Arabidopsis thaliana: one gene and its partners. The protein of the gene in region 1 interacts with the protein of each later gene in a pairwise test. Each region holds a gene or a part of one and is shown in the gene's direction. Other genes may lie near its edges.

Region 1 (6,344 bases):
ATTCTCAGAAACCACTTTCAAAACATAAAAATGAAATGTGCATTTGATATTCTTACACAAAACCTAATAGCAATTTCGTAATAGCAATCACAAGTGCAAAGAAATCAGATTGGATTAAACTTTCAATTCAAAAATAAACACCAAAGAAAACGAATCAAATCTTCACCTGAGTAACGGTTTTGCCATGAGTGTAGTGAAGAAGCCCAGAGGGATGCGTCTTCTCGTAGTGGAGCTTGTACTTTCCTTCAGGCGTCTTGAAATACGTTTTGATTCCCGGAGACTGAGGATTCGCCGCCGAAGCTGACGAAGAAGAAGGCCCAGAGATCATCCCATTCGAAGTGTTCATCATATTTGCTCACTTGCTCTTTCTCTAATTCACAAGCTACTTAGAGCATCCGATCATGTCCCTCCCAAGCTAGGGTTTACCCTTCTCCCACTACACAAAATCCAAAAATCTTCTCTTCTTCAATGCAAATTTCTCTAAACTCTGTTCATCATCGTCGCCAAAATCAAAATGGAACTTTAATACTCCTGGATTCGCCAATGGCTACTGGATCAAAAAGATTAATACAATGTGGATTCCGATTCGCTTCCTTTATTGCTTTCTTAATCATCCTCTTAACTCATCAATCAAATTGACTATTAATGGATAAAATCAAAGTCATCTCGATCAACGGTCAAGATCCCTTTAATCTCTGAGTTTCTCGAACCCTTTTGATACGTACAGCTGAGGCCCAAGTACAGTCCAAAAATATAGGCCCATTACTGAAGAACCATAGTTAATTAATAAATTGTTTAGTCGACAATAAGACAGTGAACGGGTTTTACCGGTAGCCGGTGAAGTTGGTCAGAGAAGGGATTAATGTCCCGGCAACGTCGTAACTCAACCGCTTTAATTTGATTTTTCTTAAATATAAACCGATACTCTTCATCGCTCAACCATCACCAAAAAAGAAAGCAATTTGTCTTCAAAACATATTTCTCTCTCTAAAACCTCTTTTTCATAAAAGGTTGCGTCATCTATACGAATCCATACGTCTCTTTGCTTTTCTCCGATCGGTCTTCTTTTCTCATCGCCGGAACGCTTTGGTAATGTTTCTCATTTCTCCGATCATTATTGTTGTTTCGCCGTTGAGCTGATTATTTCGTGTTGGTATGTATAAACAAGCCGATCGTTGTTTCCTTTTTTCTCTTGTGATTGTGTGATGATGGATTGTTTCTTTTTTTCGGTTTAATCCGGTTTATTCCCGGTTTTGCTGCTACATCGGTGACTTTTCCCACAATCTTCGGGTATGATCGCGATCATGTCCGTTAACCGGAGTCGGTTCTGATAATTTCAGACTTCGAATTTGTTCTCTTTCACGTAGTTGTTAGCTTTTTAAGATTCCGATACTGAGAAGAGACCAGCTCGGTGATTAGAGGAGATGTTGTAAGCTTTGTGTTTTGGTTAGCTGTTGATAATGTTGTTCAGGCTGCTACTTCAGCGATGCGGGTAAGCTAGTTTGGGATATAGTGTATTAGCATAACCTAGGCTTAGCTGGTTTGTATCCTGCAGGCTGCAGGTTTAGTGGCAATGGTGGTTTCTAGTTCTATCATACCTTTCTCCACCACGAACCTCTGGTAGTTGAGAAACTGGAGAAAAGCCTAATCAGTGATTCAAGTGTTTGGAAGATTTGAGAACTAGTACGGCTATAGTTTCAGGTCAGAATTCATCTTCCTCTTTGAGAACTTTTAGAAACTTTGAAATTATGGCATCATTCTTAAAGAAATTGCATTGATAACACATTTCAAACAGATGTTAGTTCCTCATGTTAGCCCATTAGGATTGGTGGCTGGCCTATCCTTGATGTATTCTGATTTGCGGATTGTGTTGTGGACCTTCTTGGTTGATTGGGAAAGCAAAGCGAACTTGAACTCAAGTCATCTAGAAGTTATTCTGATCCATAGGGGTAAGGAAATAACCATAACTAGTCTCTGCCATCACATGTGTACCAGAGTGTGTTTAGTCAGTTGAAGATGCTTGAGGTACGGTATCCATGAGTGGGGAACTTCAATCTTCCTAACAAACTACATCTATCATATAATGGTTTCTAGAGTGACATGCTGTCACGTACAAGCATTTGATTTGGATGCACAATGATGTGAAACATAATGCTAATTTTAAGAAAGCATCCTTTCACACAAGCCCGAATTCAGGAGTCTATTAAGGTGTGCTGGTGGGTTTGAAGACAATAAGAGCGCAGAAATAGTAAATGAGGTAGTAAGCCTTTGCAGGCTAGTACTTTTGTGGACTAAATCCGTTTATCTAAGGAAACTGTAGTGTATTCAATTTGTGGATCAGAGGAGAAGGAATAGAATTTGGTGTTCTCATTGTATTAGTGAAGTCAAGGGCCTAATTGCTTCCTGTTGGTCTACTTTAAAGGTGTGCAGAAATGATGAATCAGTGATCAATCAAGCACGACGGCTTTATCACTTGGGTAGTGTAGTGTATTCGTGGTTAGGACTTTCTAAACCTATATCCTTCTAGGATTATTTGCCTGCAGGTGCACTTTTGAGGGTTTCGGTTCAGAAAAATATTTTAAGCTTAAGTCCTGCTATTGGATTTTCCATGTAATTTTCTTGCTCATGTCATCTATGGTTGTAAGTTTAGTGAAATACATGTACAAGGCCTTTACTTGAATATAAACGAAGAAGTAGTACATTGATAGAAACTGAAAAGATGATATCAAGTGTTACCTATTTTGCATGAACTTGCTCTGATGCTCTTTTATGCGGATACAGTATATGATAATTTGCCATCGTGCCTTATTCTTTCATCCTCTTCTATTTCCTAATCAGTTTCCTATAGACTTTTCTGTAAATTCTATAGACTTTTTGAAAGTGTGTAATTTGATGAACTCCTTGTATTACTCTTCACTTTTGATGGCTCTGGTTTGGAGAGTCGAGAACCTTAGTGATACTTTAAATGCAAAGGCTTCTTAGTTTCCCAACCGTGCTTGTTTTCTGCCTCTCTTTTCTTTTGGTTTAAAAGAAGTATGTCTGTTGTTATTGACAAACTCTTCTATGTAAGTTTTTCTTATGAACTAAAAGATCTGTACTATTAAGGTTTATTTTTCATGTATAAGCATCATGAACTTTCCTGCAGCACAGAGCCTAAGTCCACAAAAACTTGTTTGCTTATGATATCATGAGATCTGAGGTATATAATATGGTAGGTACATGTTACAAAGGTAATGGTACTAGAGCTTGAAACTATGGACTGATTTCTTATATATTTACTTGGGAAATTTGGCTATCAGACTGAAAGTAAACTATGTTGGTTGGAAATTATAGATTTTTTTTTTTTCTGAGCTTGCGGATGTTTTCCTGGGATTTTGAATGGTGAGAGAAATTTTTGTGCAGGTTTAATGGGGCACAGACATTTTCTTGGTTCATCCCAGTTTTTTGATGATGAACATGATCAAGGCTGGAATCATACACACCCAGAACATCCATATTCGAGTCAAGGTAATTAGTCCTTCATTCTATAGTTCCTTAATCTGTTTTTTATTTATTGAAATTTGGTTGATGATGCATGTTTAGTTTTAGGGTAATATGTTCCATATTTCTGATTAATTATTGTCCATCCCACATTTTCTCAGCAACATCTGGGACCAGTGAGAACAGATCACATGTTTATCCAGCAGAAAACATGTTGAATGAAGGAATGCCAGTGTCTTCTCATTGGAACTCTTCTCCAGGACCAAATGCTTATACTGACTCAGGTCATAGTGTGGAGAGACCACACTACAATCCGGGGGTTTCGGGGCCGTCCCATGATCCTTCCGTGAATTCAACAGTTCCAACTTTCTCTGCTCCACATGAGAATTATGTGACATTTGCATCTTCTTCAAGCTACAACAGCCAGACATGGTCAAATGCTAGTTATGTTGATCATCAATCTATGGAAAGTGTGAGAGGAGCACAAAAGAGAAAACGACCATGTCCTTCTTCCATCTATGAAATGGGTAGTTCAAGCCAATATCACGGTGACAGAACTCCTGCAGACACTCATTTCCCCTCGGAATTGCACTTGGGAAAATCAATAACGCATGATCATGACCCTCATTACATGCCATGGCTTATGAACCCAACTTACAGAAGTAATAATCTCTCGATCAGGGGAGAGAGCTCTTCAAGGAATGTCCGGAGTCGTCCTACACTTGATTCAGAGACCAGCTTAGGTAGAAATAATTTGCCAAGAAGCTTGAGCCTTGATTCTCATTCTACACACCACCACAGTGTTGATCATTATGGCTCAGGTCAATTTCCTGGTCAGACATCTCACGGAAATAAAGACTGGAACTGTGCTAGATTGTCCCCAGTTCTTAGAGGTATGCAAAGTTCACTTTGTCTCGATATCTGAATCGTCTTTGTTTCTAATAATCACATTAATTCCCACTTTGCAGATATAAATGGCTTTAGTCCAGAGACAAATAATTTCCTTCCTGCAAGAAGTGTTGTCAACAGCTTATCTGTTAATACTTCCGGCTATCATCACCATGAGCTTACCGGAAACAGAAACCCTACAGTTTCCCACGGGGTTCCTGGAACTTCAACACTATCTACAAGCAGCAGCCGCTTCTCTCATAGGTCAACATCCACCTATAGATCTTCTTCACACGGTTCGCGATCGGGACATGTAGCATCTTCTTCTGGAGACAGGTCTCATTTGGTCACTGAGACTTATCCGTCTAGGCATTTAAGGCCACCACCACACATTTCATGGCGTAGCGGTGATCGGCCAGGGAGACGCAGAAGTTCCTATGAGAGGTTTCAGCCTCCTTTCGATGAAGTTGCTCTCCACGAACGGTTTTCATCTGAGGTATATATTTCCCTTACAGATGCATTATTTAGAGTGGAAGTCTGTCTAAATTACATTTAGTATTAAGATAAAGATCAAGCCGATATGATACAGTGCATATCGAATATTAAGATATAGATTTGCAATCTTATCATTTTCTGCTGCATGCTGAACTGTAATCTGTTATTTTTTGGGGTGTATGTAATAATAGGAATTCATGGTTGAAGATCGCCAACCACAATACTACGGATCCAGAAACATGCTTGATCACCACAGAGACATGAGGCTTGACATCGATAACATGAGCTATGAGGTTAATAGCCAAACACTTATCTTTTGAAGCCTCACATAGGCAAAACGAAAAGTTTTGGTACTGACATATATATGCAGGAACTCCTTGATCTTGGAGAAAGGATTGGGAGTGTCAACACTGGTCTATCCGACAGCGCAATCTCCAGTTGCTTGTTAGCAACAATGTATTATCCATCATATCAAACAGAGGAGCAAAGAAAATGTGCAATCTGCCTGGTAAGATTTAGTTTTTTTTTTTTTTTTCACAACCTGGTAAGATTTAGTTGTCTGAAACATTATGTGTCTATAAAGTTAGAAGTAGGCTAACTTAAGGGTGATGTGGTAATTGGTAAACAAATAGGAGGAGTACAAGGAAAAAGAAGAGTTAGGGGAAGTTAAGGGGTGTGGTCATGACTACCATGGGAGGTGCATCAAGAAATGGTTGTCTATGAAGAACTCTTGCCCTATTTGCAAATCCCCTGCTTTACCTGATGCTTCTAAGAACTCATCATAAATTATAGGTTATCTTTTATGTGTGCATGTTATATTCATTTGTCTTTCGAAAGGAAGAAAAATATGTGACAGAATATAACATTAAGTTTTCTTAGTGATTAATAGTTGTAAATAGAAGAAAGTCCAGGATCTTTCTCAAGGGTTAATATATATGTTAATTATTGGAAAAGGCTCTCTTTGGAAAATCTGGATTTGTTACAGATGCAAATAGTTACACAACACTTCACACTATATGGTATTTCATCTTCAAAGAGAAATAAGATTGACAAATAAAGAGATGATATAGTCCTTGAATTTTCCTTGTGGATGGGTGAATTCTTCACCGGTCCTGTAGGTCACATCTATCATTTTTCCAGCATTAGTGGCCCGTGATAAGATATCGCCTGATATTATCTTCCTTGACTTCAAGTACACTTCGTTCACTGACTTGGCCGTCTGGATTTAAGCCACTCATAACTTTTTCTTCTAGCAGTTTGTACCAACCCAAGAAAACTGCATGAAACAGTTACATACATTGACACCTCAACACCACCAATCTCCAAGTACTCATCGAATGTAGGCACGATGTCTCCTTGTGCCCACTCTGCATAGCTAAGGTTGGCCTTTGAGTATAGTTTGAACTGCTTAATGTTTAGGAGCATATATACAAAAAGATGTTATGTCTATGATAATCTCTTTATGTCGACCGTTATTAGTG
Region 2 (4,355 bases), 5.2 Mb from region 1:
AAAGCATACCATCGTTTGCAATTTTGCTAGAGACTTGGTTGGAACCCTAGAGAGTATTTCAGATTCCAAATCGTCCGGAAGATCGGAGATCATCATTGTCTTTCTCGTTGTTGCTGATCTGATCACTTGTGGAAGAAAGCGTACAGTATATTTAAGTGTATATAGAAATTAGGGTTTTCGTTACAATAAGCCCATACCATTTATTGAAAACCTTATTATGTGTTGTTAAAAAGCCCATTACCTCCACTGATCTTCTTTTATGTTTTTAGCATATATACTAGAAACTTGGGTCTCAAGCTCTTGGGTTGTACGGTTGTACCCTCTTTTTCTTTTGGATTTGAGTTGTTACAATTTTTCCTATCATCATCACTCCTCAACAAGTTAGATGCAAATGATTCTTAGCTATTTTCTTTTAGAGTGTTCATCAAACATTTCTTCATCTTTTACAAATAGAAAGTTTTCTTCAAAGGTATTGAATAGTTTAGTACGTCATTTCCTTTATAATTTTTTCATCCTCTTTCCTTAGGTCTTGTTCACCTAGTACCAAACCCTTTTTGGCTTCTTCATAAAAATGATGGCATTGCAAAACTCAATTTGTATTTGCTAGATTCGGATTTTCGCAGAACTTACCCTCGGGATTTTAAAGGTAGAAGTGTTGTGATTTAGCCGTATTTATTAGTAATACATACAATATTTTTATTTTTATTTTTTTGGTTAAAAAGCTAGTACATTATTATCACCAAAACCGTTTAATATTGTAGTCTACGGACAGCTTCCAAACTGCTGAATGGATGACGCAATTCATTGCAGTTCAGACACACGAAGTCTCCCTTGACCTGAAACAACAACCATGTAAATGAAAGTGATGAGACAGACTAAGCAGAATGCACAAACCTGTAGACCGAGGTACTTTAGAAACCCTTTAGGATCTTTCAAGTACTTTGGCAATCATAATGTCTAAATGGCTTTACCATGGAATTCATTATGTATAGTATTAAAAAAATCATTATATCAATAAATAGAAACAACTACTTATGACTAAGCTCGAACAAAGGAACATCAATAAAACCAGAAGATAAAGAAAAATCATGAAAATCCTGATGTAAAACTAAGAGTTTTTCTTTCCCAACAACTGATAGAGCTGCAATATCTTCACGATTAAAACTCTTAAACGAAAGAGGAAAACGTGGTTCTATCAGTTGTTGGAAAAGACAAACTGTCGCTGTTACATCAGAAGATATTAAAGCTATGGCCAGAAGATTTTAAACCCTAGAGTTCCGATTCTAAATCGTCCGGAAGATCGGAGATCATCATTGTCTTTCTCATCTCATCCCTCGAGGAAGAAAGCGTTGCGTATATGTGTATAAAAATTAGGGTTTTCGTTACAATAAGCCTAATCGATTTATCTAAAAGCCCATTAGAAAGCCCATTAGCTTCACAAAATGTATTTTAACCCGATTTAAAATTTCGTTTGGGCCAAAGCCATCTTAACCCGACCCATATTAACATCACTGCTTACGCAAACACAACAAGATTTGGAGATTTGTCGTTAAACAAATTTCGCCGACCTACGTATGAGCCGTCGCCTCCAATATAAACCAAAGCCATCCCTAATCCTCGAATTCTTCCTCTCTGAGTTTTTATTCTGAGATAGAGAAAGATGTCAGGTTTAGCTTGTAATTCGTGTAACAAAGACTTCGAAGACGACGCTGAGCAGAAGTTTCACTACAAATCCGAATGGCACCGTTACAATCTCAAGCGCAAGGTTAGAATTCAATCTCTTGTGTTTTCGTTTCGCGATTAAGTTCGTCTATGGTTTATGGATTTGATTTTGGTTCTTCTAGTTCATGATTAGTTTGGTTTTGAAATGTTTATAGATAGCTGGTGTTCCTGGAGTAACAGAGGCACTATTTGAAGCTAGACAAGCTGCTATAGCTCAAGAGAAGGTTAAAGCTGTTGAAGCACCGATGCTTTATAGTTGTGGAATCTGTAACAAAGGTTACAGGAGTTCCAAGGCTCATGAGCAGCATCTTAAGTCGAAGAGTCATGTTTTGAAGGCTTCGACGAGTACTGGAGAGGAGGATAAAGCGATCATCAAGCAGCTTCCGCCTCGTCGTGTTGAGAAGAATAACACTGCTCAATTGAAGGGTTCGATTGAGGAGGAAGAGAGTGAAGATGAATGGATTGAGGTTGATTCGGATGAGGATTTGGATGCGGAAATGAATGAGGATGGTGAAGAAGAAGATATGGATGAAGATGGTATTGAATTTGAGTTGGATCCGGCTTGTTGTTTGATGTGTGATAAGAAGCATAAGACTATAGAGAAATGTATGGTTCATATGCATAAGTTTCATGGGTTCTTCATTCCTGATATTGAGTACTTGAAGGATCCTAAAGGGTTTCTGACCTACCTCGGTCTAAAGGTTTGTGCTTTGTGCTTAGTCTGTCTTAGATCTTTGTTTTTCTTTGCTACTTAGTACTTACATGGTTGTTGTTTCAGGTCAAGAGAGACTTCGTGTGTCTGTACTGCAATGAATTGTGCCATCCATTTAGTAGTTTGGAAGCTGTTCGTAAGCATATGGACGCCAAAGGTCATTGCAAAGTGCATTATGGTGATGGTGGTGATGAAGAAGATGCAGAACTTGAAGAGTTCTATGACTACAGCAGCAGGTTCCATTTCTTCTGCTTTCTCCTCTGTTGTTGGTGTCTAAATGTGCTTGAACTAATTGTGTCTTCTTTTGATGTGTGTTTGTACAGCTATGTCAATGGAGACGAAAATCAGATGGTTGTGTCCGGTGAGTCAGTGAACACTGTAGAGCTTTTTGGTGGGTCTGAGCTTGTGATCACCAAGAGAACCGATAACAAAGTAACGTCTAGGACTCTTGGGTCTCGAGAATTCATGCGCTACTACAAACAGAAGCCAGCACCGTCTTCTCAGAAGCATATTGTCAACTCTCTAACCTCCAGGTTTGTCTTTAACCGATCAGAGATCATTTATCACTGTCTCTGTGTAGAATTTGAATCTGACGTGAATGGGTCTTAAAACACAGGTACAAGATGATGGGTCTAGCAACAGTGCAGTCAAAGGAGGCCATAGTGAGGATGAAGGTGATGAGAGAGATGAACAAAAGAGGAGCGAAAAGCAGTGTCAGGCTCGGAATGAAGAGCAACGTCATCAGGAATCTGCCCAACAATGTCACCTATTAGTCTTGCTCCTCGATTTTCAGGTCTCTCCTCTTTGTTTGATTTTGTGACCAGAGTTTTGGTGAGTAAATCTATCTAAGTTTTTCACTAGTACTCAAGTATCTTAGGCCCATTTGGGTCTCTGTTTTGTCTGATTTAGTCTTTTGAAAATGTTACGTTTTGGCTGAGTTTGTATCTCTTGCCCAGTGCTTTGTACACTCTACATTAATCTATATTTCATTTGGTAGAAGATCAAGAGCTAATCAATCTTTATCTGCTAAATCATAAATCTAGTACACTTTTCACTTATCTATACATTTGTTTTAGATAACGAATGCTCTCGACTTCACTTTCTCTAGCTATCTTGATAAATTGTATAAAGGTAAATGCACAGGTCGATTTACGAGTTCCTCACAAACCGCGAGTAAATCTCGACACGAATATCTTGCATCATCCACTATATCTCTTTATTATTTATCACTCTATTGCTCTCTCTTACAGGCACTACTGTTTCAAAAGAGAGAGGAACAAGTTTAAAGCCTAACTCTTTCCAAAGTCCAACAGCCCAACTTCACAGGAGCCCATCGAAATCATAAGTCTTCTAAACCGGAAAGCTTTTGAGTCGAATAAACTGAACTGAGAGTAAACCGGAGAACTGAATTTATTAAAAAGTAATTATATTATAGATTTACCTCGCCCTAATTGGCGGGAAGCTCTAATCAAAATTGGAGGGAAAATCCCCCAAAAATTCTTTCGTCGCTATTAAAATTCCCCCAAAATCTTCTCTTCCCTTTACTTTGATCACTTTTCAACTTCCTAAATCTCTTCACAGTTACTTTCGATTTTCCGATTTCGTAGCTTCGAAAATGTTCTCCAGCAGCCAATTCGAGCCTAATTCCGGCTTCTCCGGCGGCGGATTCATGTCTTCTCAACCTTCTCAAGCCTACGAATCCTCCTCCTCCACCGCTAAGGTAATATAATCCATCTTCCATTTCGTTCAATTCCACCGATTAGGCTACAGATCGAAAGTTTCCGAATCGCTAAACGTTTCTCTGTAACAATCGATTTTGGAATTGCTAAATCTGCTCTGTATATGTTTTGTGGGAATATGCAGAATCGTGATTTTCAAGGTCTTGTTCCAGTGACGGTGAAGCAAATCACCGAATGTTTCC
Region 3 (5,061 bases), on another chromosome or scaffold:
TTAAATCGTCTATAGTAGCCAATTATGATTGCAATCGTTGTGCGAATATAACCAGCATGGTATATATCACAAGTTTTTAGTTAGTGAATTTTTTAGTTATTTCAAGAGCTTGTTCTGTAGAATAAACCAAAAACTAAAAGAAAATCCATTCTATTCAATACCATAACTTCATGTGTTCACGAAACATCATGGGAACACAGTAAATAGAAAAACAAAATCAATTTATAACTATATATGAATGTTGTCAAATGGGAGTTGACCTCCAATATTATCTTTTATACATTTGAAACTTTAATTTTGACTTTTTTTTAGTAAGATAGTTTTTGTTCATGTCCTGAATGTTAGGTAACAGCTAGCGATTTGAAATAGAAATAAACATTTACAAACCATGTAGTGGTCCAAACCATTGACTCAATTAAAGAGTCAACGCATAATCGAATTTGTAATCTGTGAAGAAGAAGACTCGAATGGTATTGAACTTGATTTGATTTGATTCGTTTTGTGAATCGTATCCCGTTAGTCATTGGATTGTGCAGAGAAAACAAATATTGAAGCAACCTCTAATTAAGTCTACAAAGAAATAGGACACCACAACAAAGGTTGACTTTTACAGAATCACAAAGCCAAAACGATAATCTAGAAAGTAGAGAAACTAGACAGCACAAAACGATAAAAGACCGAGTCTGTCGACCATTACCTTAGTTTTTTTTCATATCGTTAAAAAATAATGTGATATACATGTACGTTAATACTTAATATATACTATTTGACTTGAGATAGCCCTACAAAACTTTTATTCATTTATTTCTCACAAGTTCCCTAAAACTTTATGAACCAATTTGAAGATTAATATTTTGTTACGTTGCTATCAATTTCAAATTCTTTGTAGGTGCTATATTTGAAAACTGGTTTCATACCTAAAAAGGTTATGAACCAAAGACTCAACTTGTCTGGTTATAAATAAAAGTGATTGAAAACACTCACACGGCTAGTGAATTCTCATTAGAAAAATGAAAAGTTCGTTAAATTCGACCAGTGATATAAATATATATACGAAAAACATATGATCATTATGCTTTTTGTCAGGTCCTAGAAATAAATATGTGGAACCCAATTCATTTCAACATTCACGGTAATTTAATTTCCCTTGGCAACATTTAGTCATTTACCGGAATATTCAAACTTCGAATGTTAGGAAATATTTAAGAAGGTAATGGTAAAAAGTAAGAAAAAAAGGACTGGGATCAATAAATGAGAAAAATGGAAGTAGTAGTGGGGCTAAAATTTCTCTATCCAAAATAAATGAAACAGGCGCCGACATTAACAACACCATTCCATTTATAACTCTTTATCCAAATTTTTATTTAGCTGAACCCAATTTACTCTTTCTCTTATCTTCCTCTACTTAATTCTTCTAACAAAGCTCTGTTGCAGATGCTTTCTTTAGAAAAAAATTGGGCCAATATTGTTTATTGAAAAGATCAACAACAGACTGGGTTTTGTTTAAGAAAGAATAGTGATTAGAGAACGAGTCGTTGATGTTCTAATTGACTTGCAAGAATGAAAAAAGATACCAAAAAATTCCTCAAAGAGATATTAAAAAGAAAAAACTTTTTAGACACGGAAAAAGAGAGACTTTTCTCAGAGGAAAAAAACAAGAAAAGAGAGAAACCATAGTAAAAAAAAAAAAAAAACTGTCTGTCCAACGATTTGTTTTTGTTTTTTTGTCTCTGTTCTCTCAATTCTTCTTCTTCTTCTTCTACTTCGCCCCCACGACAAGAAATTCTCCTCTCTATTTCTATCTCATTCTTTCTCTCTCTCTCTATAAAATCTTCAACTTCTGGGTTTATTCTTCCACAATCCCTCGAGTTATAATAACTCTCTGCAAAGAGTTTTACTTTGATTCTTCTGTGGAGGATCTTACACAATTTTCATGGCTTCTTGAATCATGTAATCTTTTCCTTCTCGCCATTTTTCATCTCTACCCGGATCCGTAACCAGCTCTCAGACCAGACCCGGGTTATACCATTTCTCCTCCTTAAAAGTCACACCGCGTTGACCTTCTTCCTCTGGTCTCCTCTCCCATTTTCTTTTAAAGAACTTCACAAAGTTTCAATCTTTTACTTTGGTTCCTCTCTCTCTCTCTGTTTATTAGGGTTCTGGGTTCTGTTGATGATGATTCTCTAACTAATGAGGTAGAGTTATAACCCAAAAATAACAAAAGTAGAGTTAAGTCTTTGAAATTTGGTACCAACAATGGCGAGCCAGACGGGTCAGAAAATTCGGTTGGTGAGGTGTCCCAAGTGCTTGAAGATTCTACAGGAAGACGAAGATGTTCCTGTTTATCAGTGCGGTGGTTGTTCCGCCATTCTTCAAGGTAACTTTCTTTCCATTTCGATTTTGCCTCTGATTATAATGTGAACTCTGTCCCTGAATCTGGCTTTGTTCTACTCCTGGTTGTCCATCTGTTTGGATGTCTGAGCTCAAACCAGTTGTGTTTTGTGGCATGATCTCTTTCATTATTAAATTTGGTTGTTGCTTCTTTGATTCAGCGAAAAGGCGGAACATTGCTCCAAGCAGTACACCAAGTGCAGGAGAGACAGAGAGGGCTCAAGCCAATGAGCCGCAAAGCGTACCTGAAACCAACAATGTGTCCAGCAGCTCGGGGCAGGACACGGTTCTGCCGTCATCTCCAGGTCGTTCCGTGGACCAAGAGTATGAGAAAGGTAGGAATGCATCCATGGAGTCTACGGAGAAGGAGCTTGATGACTTAGAGTTATCTAATGGAGATGGGACAAATGAAATTCAAGAGCAGGAATGTTCACTTGGTGATTCTGAGAAGAATGAAAGAGAAGACAACTCCAGATTGGAGTCTCATATGATGAACACCGTAGCAGAAGCTGCAGGATCTGGATCTAGCTCTGGAAGCTTGAGCGTTGATCATGTGGTGGCTGCAAGAGCGAGTAATCCATCCGGTAACTCTGAGATTTCACCGGATGCTTCCCCCGTAGAAGAGAAGCAAAGCCAACTTGACATTCTTGCAAACAAGACTCCTTCTGCTTATGATGTGGTGGCTGCAAGAGCGAGTAATTCATCTGGCAATGCTGAGATCTCACCTGATGCTTCCCCTGTTGAAGAGAAGCAAAGCCAACTTGATTATCCTGCAAACAAGACTTCTTCTGCTTATGATGGGAGTGAGTCTTCCTCTGACGAAAGGGAAGGCCAACTTCTCGATGATGACGAACAATGGAATGCTCTTCAGAAAATAAGATCAGGCAAATTTGAGATGCATAGATACCCTGGGTATAAGGAGCAAGGCGCTAGTTCCTCCTCCCCTTTCTCTGAGAATAGGCGCAATGGGATTACCACATACAACGAGCGGCATCAGAACAGGTCTCTACAGCTAGAGGGACCAGGAGGGCGCCTTGGCAGACAAGGGAGGAGACATGTGACAGAACAACTTCGGCCTGACATGCCTTTCTATCCGAGAGAATCATACACACGTGGAAGCCCTTCCCATCCGTCACATGATGAGTTTGATCGCTATCCCCGTGCACACTCACTTCAAATGCCTTCATACGCTGGAGGCATGAACCACGATTTTGTTGACTATATGTATCACAACAACCCAAGGGCAAGAGGTCAGGGCCAAGGAAGTAGGATCTCAGGTGAAATGGGAAGAAACCATGGCGGTTGGTATTCAGGTCAGCTTCATAATTCTTACAGTTCATATTCTGCAAGTCCACAGAGACCAATGGAACAACCTGAGTATCATCCGAGATGGAGGCGTGAGATAGTCTCAGACGTGGAGGATCATCAGCGTAATAGACATGCTGGCCACCACCATGAGTTACAGACCCGTCGTCTAAGAGAGAGACAACGTGTGGCCAAGCGTCATGTCCGTCCAACAGCTGGTGGGGCACCTTTTGTTAGCTGTTACAGTTGCTCAGAAAACCTGCAGCTTCCTGTAGACTTTCTCATTTTCAAGAGGAAACATCATCTTCTCAGATGCGGCACTTGCACCACTGTTCTCAGATTCTCACTTCAGTCCAGAAATCATTTAGTTCCTGCAGTAACACATGACATAAATGCTAATAGGAATAGCAATTCAACATCAGAGTCTCCCATAGACAAAGCTCCCTCCAAACCTGAAAAGCTGAGATCCTCTGTTCAGGATGAGGAGCTACCTGTGGCTAGAGGCTCTCCGCTTCACCGACTAATGGGATATTCTACTGTAAGCCAAGTCTTTAAAGTTTCACAGCGTCCTCCTTCTATATAGATCTCTGCTTCAGATGAAGCAACGAGAACTATGAACTTCTGAGAATCTGAGATGGAAAGTTTTGCCATTGTTTGCCATTCTTTATTTCACTTCTGTGTATAGGTAAAAGATTTGTCTCTGCACTTTTGTTTAAAGTAGAAACCATGACACTTGTGAAAAATTATACAAAAAAATAGAAGAAGATATAGTTCATCTGTTGTATATAGTCATGATATGTTTGTAACAAGATTGAATTCATCATCGTTCTTGGCTTGATAATCTACTATAACATTACCACTTGTAAATAAATAAAAAGTTTGAATAGGTTTAGTGAAGTATATTTGCATAAACTTAGTTGAAGCTGTCCTTGTATCCATTCGTCCTCTTGTTGGACGCGATAGAGATCCGCTGATCCTGCAGCATGTTCAGGTTTGGGGCTAATAGTCTTGTGTATCGATCGAAGTACAGAAGTTGCTTCAACAGAAGTGCAAACTCTCTCGGGAACTTAAGACCATATGATTCGCTAACACGCACCTATAAGAAAGTGAACTTATTTTCAACTGCTGAAAGCTCAAATCCTGGGGTTTATCTTAACTCAATGCAACTTCTATATCCTCTTAACAACTTTCAAACCAAAAAAAAATCCTTAAGAAATTACGTCTAACTGCTTACCAGGTCGAGGAAAAGAGCATTCATCTGTCTCTCATCCATAACTACGTTAGCAGCAACAGCAGTAGTGTCTGAATTTGTTCCACGAGCTGTAGCCACTACTATCTCTGTATCTAGTTCCTGCAAGAAGAGAT
Region 4 (5,790 bases), on another chromosome or scaffold:
GAACTATACGACGTCATGTAGTTAACACCACAGACATGCAATTCCGGTACACTAATAAATTTACTCCGTTGAAGACCAGTGTTGACCGGCATAGTTGAGGATACTATAGTATAATTGGCATGGGTAAATTAACTAAAAATCATCAATCCATTTATCATAATCCAAATTCTGGTCAAAAGAATCTAAAAATAGTTTCATAAAAATAGTTTCATGTTTCTGTTTACAGTAATAAAATTGATATCTTAGTCATGACCAAATCAATAGCCGCAAGTTATGCTCCCAAAAATTAGCTGTTCATCTTTTACTCCAATCAAAAACATAAAAAAAAAAAAACAATTACAATTTCTATTCTAAGTAAATGTTAAATAAATTTATTAAATTTTACCTCCTAAGACTTCAGTGGTTACACTATTAGAAAATAATTAGATTTGTGTGCCTAAAAGCCTTAGAAGCATGCATTTTTTATGAATAAATAAATTTAGTATTGATTTCGGTATAGAAAATGAAATTAGCAAATTCTTGATATGTGTAACTAAAATAAAATCTTATGTAAAAAACAGAAGCGATAAAGGCAAACATAATTCAAAACTGCGACCAATTCTTATTATCAAAGATTTATGAAACACCAATTAGCTATTAATAGTAAAAATCAAGTGACACTTTCCCTATACTAAATTGTTAATTGTTCGGATTTATAGGCTTAGCTAGTTAAGTATAAATATTAATCCACACTCTTCACACTAATTCAATTTTATCCCTAATAAAAAACTTGAATCTATATATGTGTATCAATATATGTGTATGATATTTAAAGGGGTTTGTAGTCTATTGAAATAAATAAAAGATTCCATTATCCATGATTTTTAATAAGTTACTTCGTAGCATTACTAAACCTATTTACATCATCAACAATACAACTGATTTAATTTCAACTAACTAAAAAATTACCAATTTATTTATCATAAATTCATAATCTAATATCTGGTCAAAAGAATCTAAAAATAGTTTCATGTGTCTATTTATAGTAATAAGATTGATATCTTAGTAATGACCAAATCAATAGCCGCAAATTTTGCTCTGAAAAATTAGTTGTTCGTCTTTACTCTAATCAAAAACATAAATAAAAAATCACAATTTTTATCCAAAGTAAATGTTAAATCAATTTATTAAATTTTAGCTCTTAAGACCTCATTAGTTATATTATTAGAAATTAATTAGATTTGTGTGCTTATAAGCCTTAGAAGCATGCATTTTTTTATGAATAAATAAATTTAATGTTGCTTTCGATATAGAAAACAAAATTAGCACATGCTCGATAAGTGTAACTAAAATAAAACCTCATGTAATAAAAAAAGAAATAAAGGCAAACATAATTTAAAACTGCGACCAATTCTTATTATCAAAGATTCATGAAATATTCAATTAGCTATTAATAGTAAAATCAAGTGACATTTTATTTATACTAAATTGTTAATTGCTCGGTTTTATAGGCTTAGCTAGTTATGTATAAATATGCATCCACACTCATCACACTAATTCAATTTTATCCCTCTTTACTCTTCTTGATAATCGGAGGAAACTAAAAAAGGAAAAAAAAAAATCTAAATAAGAATAAAATTCCTAAAAAATAAATAAATCAAAAATTGTGAAGAAACAAATCCTCGAGTCATGTTGTTTACAGAAAATCTCTTTCTCACTTAAAACCCTTACAGAAACAAATCATCGAATCTTTGTTTTTTTAGAATCAGTGATTTTGTTTCCTTTCACGAGACGAAAATAACAAATCGTCTTGTAAAAAGTAAACTCATAATCATGGCGGCGGCGGTTGCCACAGGTGTTGCACCGGCGACAATGGTTGATCAAGTTCCCAGTCCGACGGCGCAGACTTCGGTTCAGGTTCCGGTTTCAATACCTCTTCCATCCCCGGTCGTGGTAGCCGATCAAACCCACCCGAACTCGTCGCTCTATGCCGGTGATCTGGACCCGAAAGTTACTGAAGCACATCTATTTGATTTGTTCAAACATGTTGCTAATGTCGTCTCGGTAAGAGTTTGCCGCGATCAGAATCGTCGATCTTTGGGATATGCCTACATCAATTTCAGTAACCCTAACGATGGTAAATACAATTCTATATCGCTTCAATTGCAAGTTAGGGTTCATGTCTTGCAAAACAAAATATATATATTATCATGAATTGCATTACAATAAGAAAAAGTGTTTTGATTTGATTTTTTTCAATCTCAATTTTTTATTAGACATGGTAATTAATTTTGATCAGTATCATGTTCCTGTGCGAATCATCTTTTTTTTTGTCTAGAAATTAACATATAATCAATATTCTATATTGTAGTTCATCTCTACTATACCATGATTCTGCTACATTGATATGTTTCGTTTGAATATCAAAGCTACAACATTTATTTTAGTAGTTGATGCATCAGTCTCTTATATTATGATTTTTCTTAATTAGTTCAATTTAATACGTGAAATTTGTTTGAAATTGTTCTTTCAATCTCATTAATTGTAGAAACTATAGGTATTTGTGCATTTATAAATATCATAGATGCTGGTTTTCTATAATGAATTGAGATCTTATTTGCCTATGTTTATATGTTGATTTATGTTTGCAGCTTACCGTGCAATGGAGGCCTTGAACTACACTCCCCTCTTTGATAGGCCCATTCGGATCATGCTTTCGAACCGTGACCCAAGCACGCGATTGAGCGGCAAAGGAAACATTTTCATCAAAAACCTTGACGCTTCAATCGACAACAAGGCCTTGTTCGAGACGTTTTCAAGTTTTGGAACCATCCTCTCATGCAAAGTTGCAATGGACGTGACTGGCCGGTCCAAGGGGTATGGATTTGTCCAGTTCGAGAAGGAGGAATCGGCTCAAGCCGCAATTGACAAGCTAAACGGAATGTTAATGAACGACAAGCAAGTTTTTGTGGGACACTTCATCAGACGTCAAGAGCGTGCTCGTGATGAAAACACCCCTACACCGCGTTTCACTAACGTGTACGTCAAGAATCTCCCCAAGGAGATTGGTGAGGACGAGCTACGAAAAACGTTTGGTAAATTTGGAGTGATATCGAGCGCAGTTGTAATGAGGGACCAGAGCGGAAACTCGAGGTGTTTCGGGTTTGTGAATTTTGAGTGCACTGAAGCAGCGGCTTCGGCGGTTGAGAAGATGAATGGAATTAGCTTAGGGGATGATGTGTTGTACGTTGGGAGGGCGCAAAAGAAGTCTGAGAGAGAGGAAGAGCTAAGAAGGAAGTTTGAGCAAGAGAGGATAAACCGGTTTGAGAAATCTCAAGGAGCGAACCTGTATTTGAAGAATCTTGATGATAGTGTTGATGATGAGAAACTCAAGGAGATGTTCTCTGAGTATGGAAATGTGACATCCTCCAAGGTAATAATTAATTAAAAACTCATACATATATTCATAAATATATATGTTGTTGATGTTACGTTGTCTTTGACACAATCCTTTAACTAATGTAGGTTATGCTTAATCCACAAGGAATGAGCAGAGGATTTGGTTTTGTTGCTTATTCCAATCCTGAAGAAGCTTTAAGAGCCGTGAGTTACTAAAACTATAATATATTCTTCTTTTATTGTTCGTCTCTTTTGATATCTGAGAGATTGTTACATATGAGACAATGCAGCTGAGTGAAATGAATGGGAAGATGATCGGAAGAAAACCTCTATACATAGCTCTTGCGCAGCGCAAAGAAGATAGACGAGCACACTTACAGGTTTTTTAAAAACTCTTTTAACATATTTAAAAGAAATGGGTTTGTTAAAGCTATATGTGTGACTAAGTACATAAGTTTGCAATTTTTTCAGGCGTTGTTTTCACAGATTAGAGCACCAGGGCCAATGTCAGGGTTCCATCACCCGCCAGGTGGACCAATGCCCGGTCCACCTCAACACATGTACGTAGGCCAAAACGGAGCAAGTATGGTCCCGTCCCAGCCCATTGGATATGGATTCCAGCCTCAGTTCATGCCCGGGATGCGTCCAGGTTCTGGCCCGGGCAACTTCATCGTGCCTTATCCGCTTCAAAGACAACCTCAGACCGGTCCTCGTATGGGATTCAGGCGTGGTGCTACTAACGTGCAACAACACATCCAACAACAACAAGTATGTTACTAAACTGAGTCTGTTTATAGTTTTCAACAATCATGAAACTGAGTTGGATTGAATATTGACAGCTTATGCACCGTAACCCGTCCCCGGGAATGAGATATATGAACGGTGCGAGTAACGGGAGGAACGGAATGGATTCGAGTGTTCCTCAAGGAATCTTACCTCCTATCATTCCTTTGCCAATAGATGCTTCTTCGATCTCTCACCAGAAAGCTCCTCTCCTTCCAATCTCTAAGCTCACTTCTTCCTTAGCTTCTGCTAGTCCAGCTGATCGCACTCGGGTTTGCCTCTTTTCCTTCCATCTCAGCTAAACATTTCTTTGTTTTGCGTTTTCTTTTGCATTTGGTGTATAACTTTTGAATAATAAACCCTTAACTCTAAACATATGTTTTCAATTGTTGATGCAAAACCAAACGCAAAGAGAGGTCAGTCACATTTGCATTTTATCTTACAAAATATTTCCTGAATAACTGAAAAATGTTTTGGTGAATTTTGTTTCTTAACATCAAATGTTTGAAAGAATTATGGTCTTATAACAAATAAATAAAAGTTAAAGTCACATAAATATATAGTTGATAGAGATTGGCATATCTATATATTTATATGTTTACTGATTTTTATTTTTAAAAAATTGGTTGGGAACAGATGCTTGGAGAACAACTGTACCCACTTGTGGAAAGGCACGAACCACTTCACGTGGCTAAAGTCACAGGAATGTTGTTGGAGATGGATCAAGCTGAGATCTTGCACCTGATGGAGTCACCAGAGGCACTCAAGTCTAAAGTATCCGAGGCTTTGGATGTTCTCAGGCTATCTGTTGATCCAACTGATCATGATCTTGGTTTCTCTACCACCGACTGAAATTTGCAATGCGTTTGCTCAACTCTGTTTTCTTCTTTTAGTTTTGATATCGACTCCTTTTCTTTTCTTTTTTGGGTTTTAGTCTTCCTTTACTATTTTAGCAGTTTTTTTTTGTTTACTTAGTTTATGGTTTTTGTGTCTTTAACTTAGTTTATGGTGTTTTTCTTTTTCTTTGGACAATGATGATTTCTTAATAATCTGAGTAGACTTCTTCTTCCGAATCCCCAAATAATCCATCTCTACTTGAAATTTAAGTTGTTCGGTATTCATGGTCAGCAACAAGGGACAATCCTTCTATTATGGTAGCAGCCTTCTATTATGAATTTATTCGAATGTGTCTACTCATAATTTGTGGTTTGTATTTCAACTTGTAGTTGATATCAATTATATGCACACAGACTTTTTCTTTTTGAGGGGTTGGAAGCAAGCGATTCAATGATTGTACCACTCATTTCATAATAGTGTTTGATATGACGTTAATTTGAATGGTTTATGTTGATCGAAAATACTCTCAGTCACAACAAGAATCTAATTCGATTAATTTATTTGAAAAACATATGTTGGCATGGTACATGAACCAGCTCGTTCATATGAAAATATTTTAAAAAGTCAACATCAGTGCTAATTTCAAATTGACCATACATTAGCACACAAGAAGACTAACAAAAAAAATGAGTGAATAAAGAAGAGAGTGAGTGGGGTTGATACATGTCACCGTCCAAAATGTGTCTGACCCTTCTCATTGGAGCTACAAGAGCCGACCCTTTGCCTCATCAT

Evidence for each region.
Region 2: the proteins of AT2G37150 (region 1) and FZF interact in a two-hybrid assay, tested with the Arabidopsis thaliana proteins (one large-scale study listed by BioGRID).
Region 3: the proteins of AT2G37150 (region 1) and AT5G05190 interact in a two-hybrid assay, tested with the Arabidopsis thaliana proteins (one large-scale study listed by BioGRID).
Region 4: the proteins of AT2G37150 (region 1) and PAB3 interact in a two-hybrid assay, tested with the Arabidopsis thaliana proteins (one large-scale study listed by BioGRID).

The regions. Positions count from the first base shown.
Region 1 is NC_003071.7:15,603,052-15,609,395, reverse strand, and holds AT2G37150 (RING/U-box superfamily protein), read left to right. Parts: upstream 1-1,795; coding exon 1,796-1,949; exon of another isoform or gene 1,950-3,187; coding exon of another isoform or gene 3,188-3,230; exon of another isoform or gene 3,231-3,402; coding exon 3,403-3,507; intron 3,508-3,641; coding exon 3,642-4,373; intron 4,374-4,448; coding exon 4,449-4,864; intron 4,865-5,054; coding exon 5,055-5,156; intron 5,157-5,233; coding exon 5,234-5,371; intron 5,372-5,495; coding exon 5,496-5,648; 3' UTR 5,649-5,815; downstream 5,816-6,344. Other genes in the region: AT2G37160 (Transducin/WD40 repeat-like superfamily protein), read right to left, coding at 1-63, 167-349; AT2G37140 (Terpenoid synthases superfamily protein), read right to left, coding at 6,067-6,270.
Region 2 is NC_003071.7:10,400,111-10,404,465, reverse strand, and holds FZF (Zinc finger protein 622), read left to right. Parts: upstream 1-1,531; 5' UTR 1,532-1,660; coding exon 1,661-1,765; intron 1,766-1,877; coding exon 1,878-2,423; intron 2,424-2,500; coding exon 2,501-2,670; intron 2,671-2,757; coding exon 2,758-2,967; intron 2,968-3,050; coding exon 3,051-3,207; 3' UTR 3,208-3,836; downstream 3,837-4,355. Other genes in the region: AT2G24510 (F-box associated ubiquitination effector family protein), read right to left, coding at 10-93; RPA2 (replicon protein A2), read left to right, coding at 4,050-4,154, 4,298-4,355. UniProt on the Arabidopsis thaliana protein: Pre-60S-associated factor involved in the cytoplasmic maturation of the 60S subunit. Involved in the dissociation and recycling of other late pre-60S factors before newly synthesized large ribosomal subunits enter translation.
Region 3 is NC_003076.8:1,539,597-1,544,657, forward strand, and holds AT5G05190 (hypothetical protein (DUF3133)), read left to right. Parts: upstream 1-1,621; 5' UTR 1,622-2,256; coding exon 2,257-2,377; intron 2,378-2,552; coding exon 2,553-4,279; 3' UTR 4,280-4,541; downstream 4,542-5,061. Other genes in the region: AT5G05200 (Protein kinase superfamily protein), read right to left, coding at 4,610-4,792, 4,931-5,047. UniProt on the Arabidopsis thaliana protein: Plays a negative role in salicylic acid (SA)-mediated resistance to powdery mildew (e.g. Golovinomyces cichoracearum). May modulate plant immunity by regulating the relocation of EDR1 by interacting with CHC2 and modulating endocytosis.
Region 4 is NC_003070.9:8,053,787-8,059,576, forward strand, and holds PAB3 (poly(A) binding protein 3), read left to right. Parts: upstream 1-1,538; 5' UTR 1,539-1,812; coding exon 1,813-2,116; intron 2,117-2,630; coding exon 2,631-3,412; intron 3,413-3,504; coding exon 3,505-3,582; intron 3,583-3,668; coding exon 3,669-3,758; intron 3,759-3,849; coding exon 3,850-4,146; intron 4,147-4,217; coding exon 4,218-4,433; intron 4,434-4,797; coding exon 4,798-5,013; 3' UTR 5,014-5,274; downstream 5,275-5,790. UniProt on the Arabidopsis thaliana protein: Binds the poly(A) tail of mRNA. Appears to be an important mediator of the multiple roles of the poly(A) tail in mRNA biogenesis, stability and translation. In the cytoplasm, affects both translation and mRNA decay.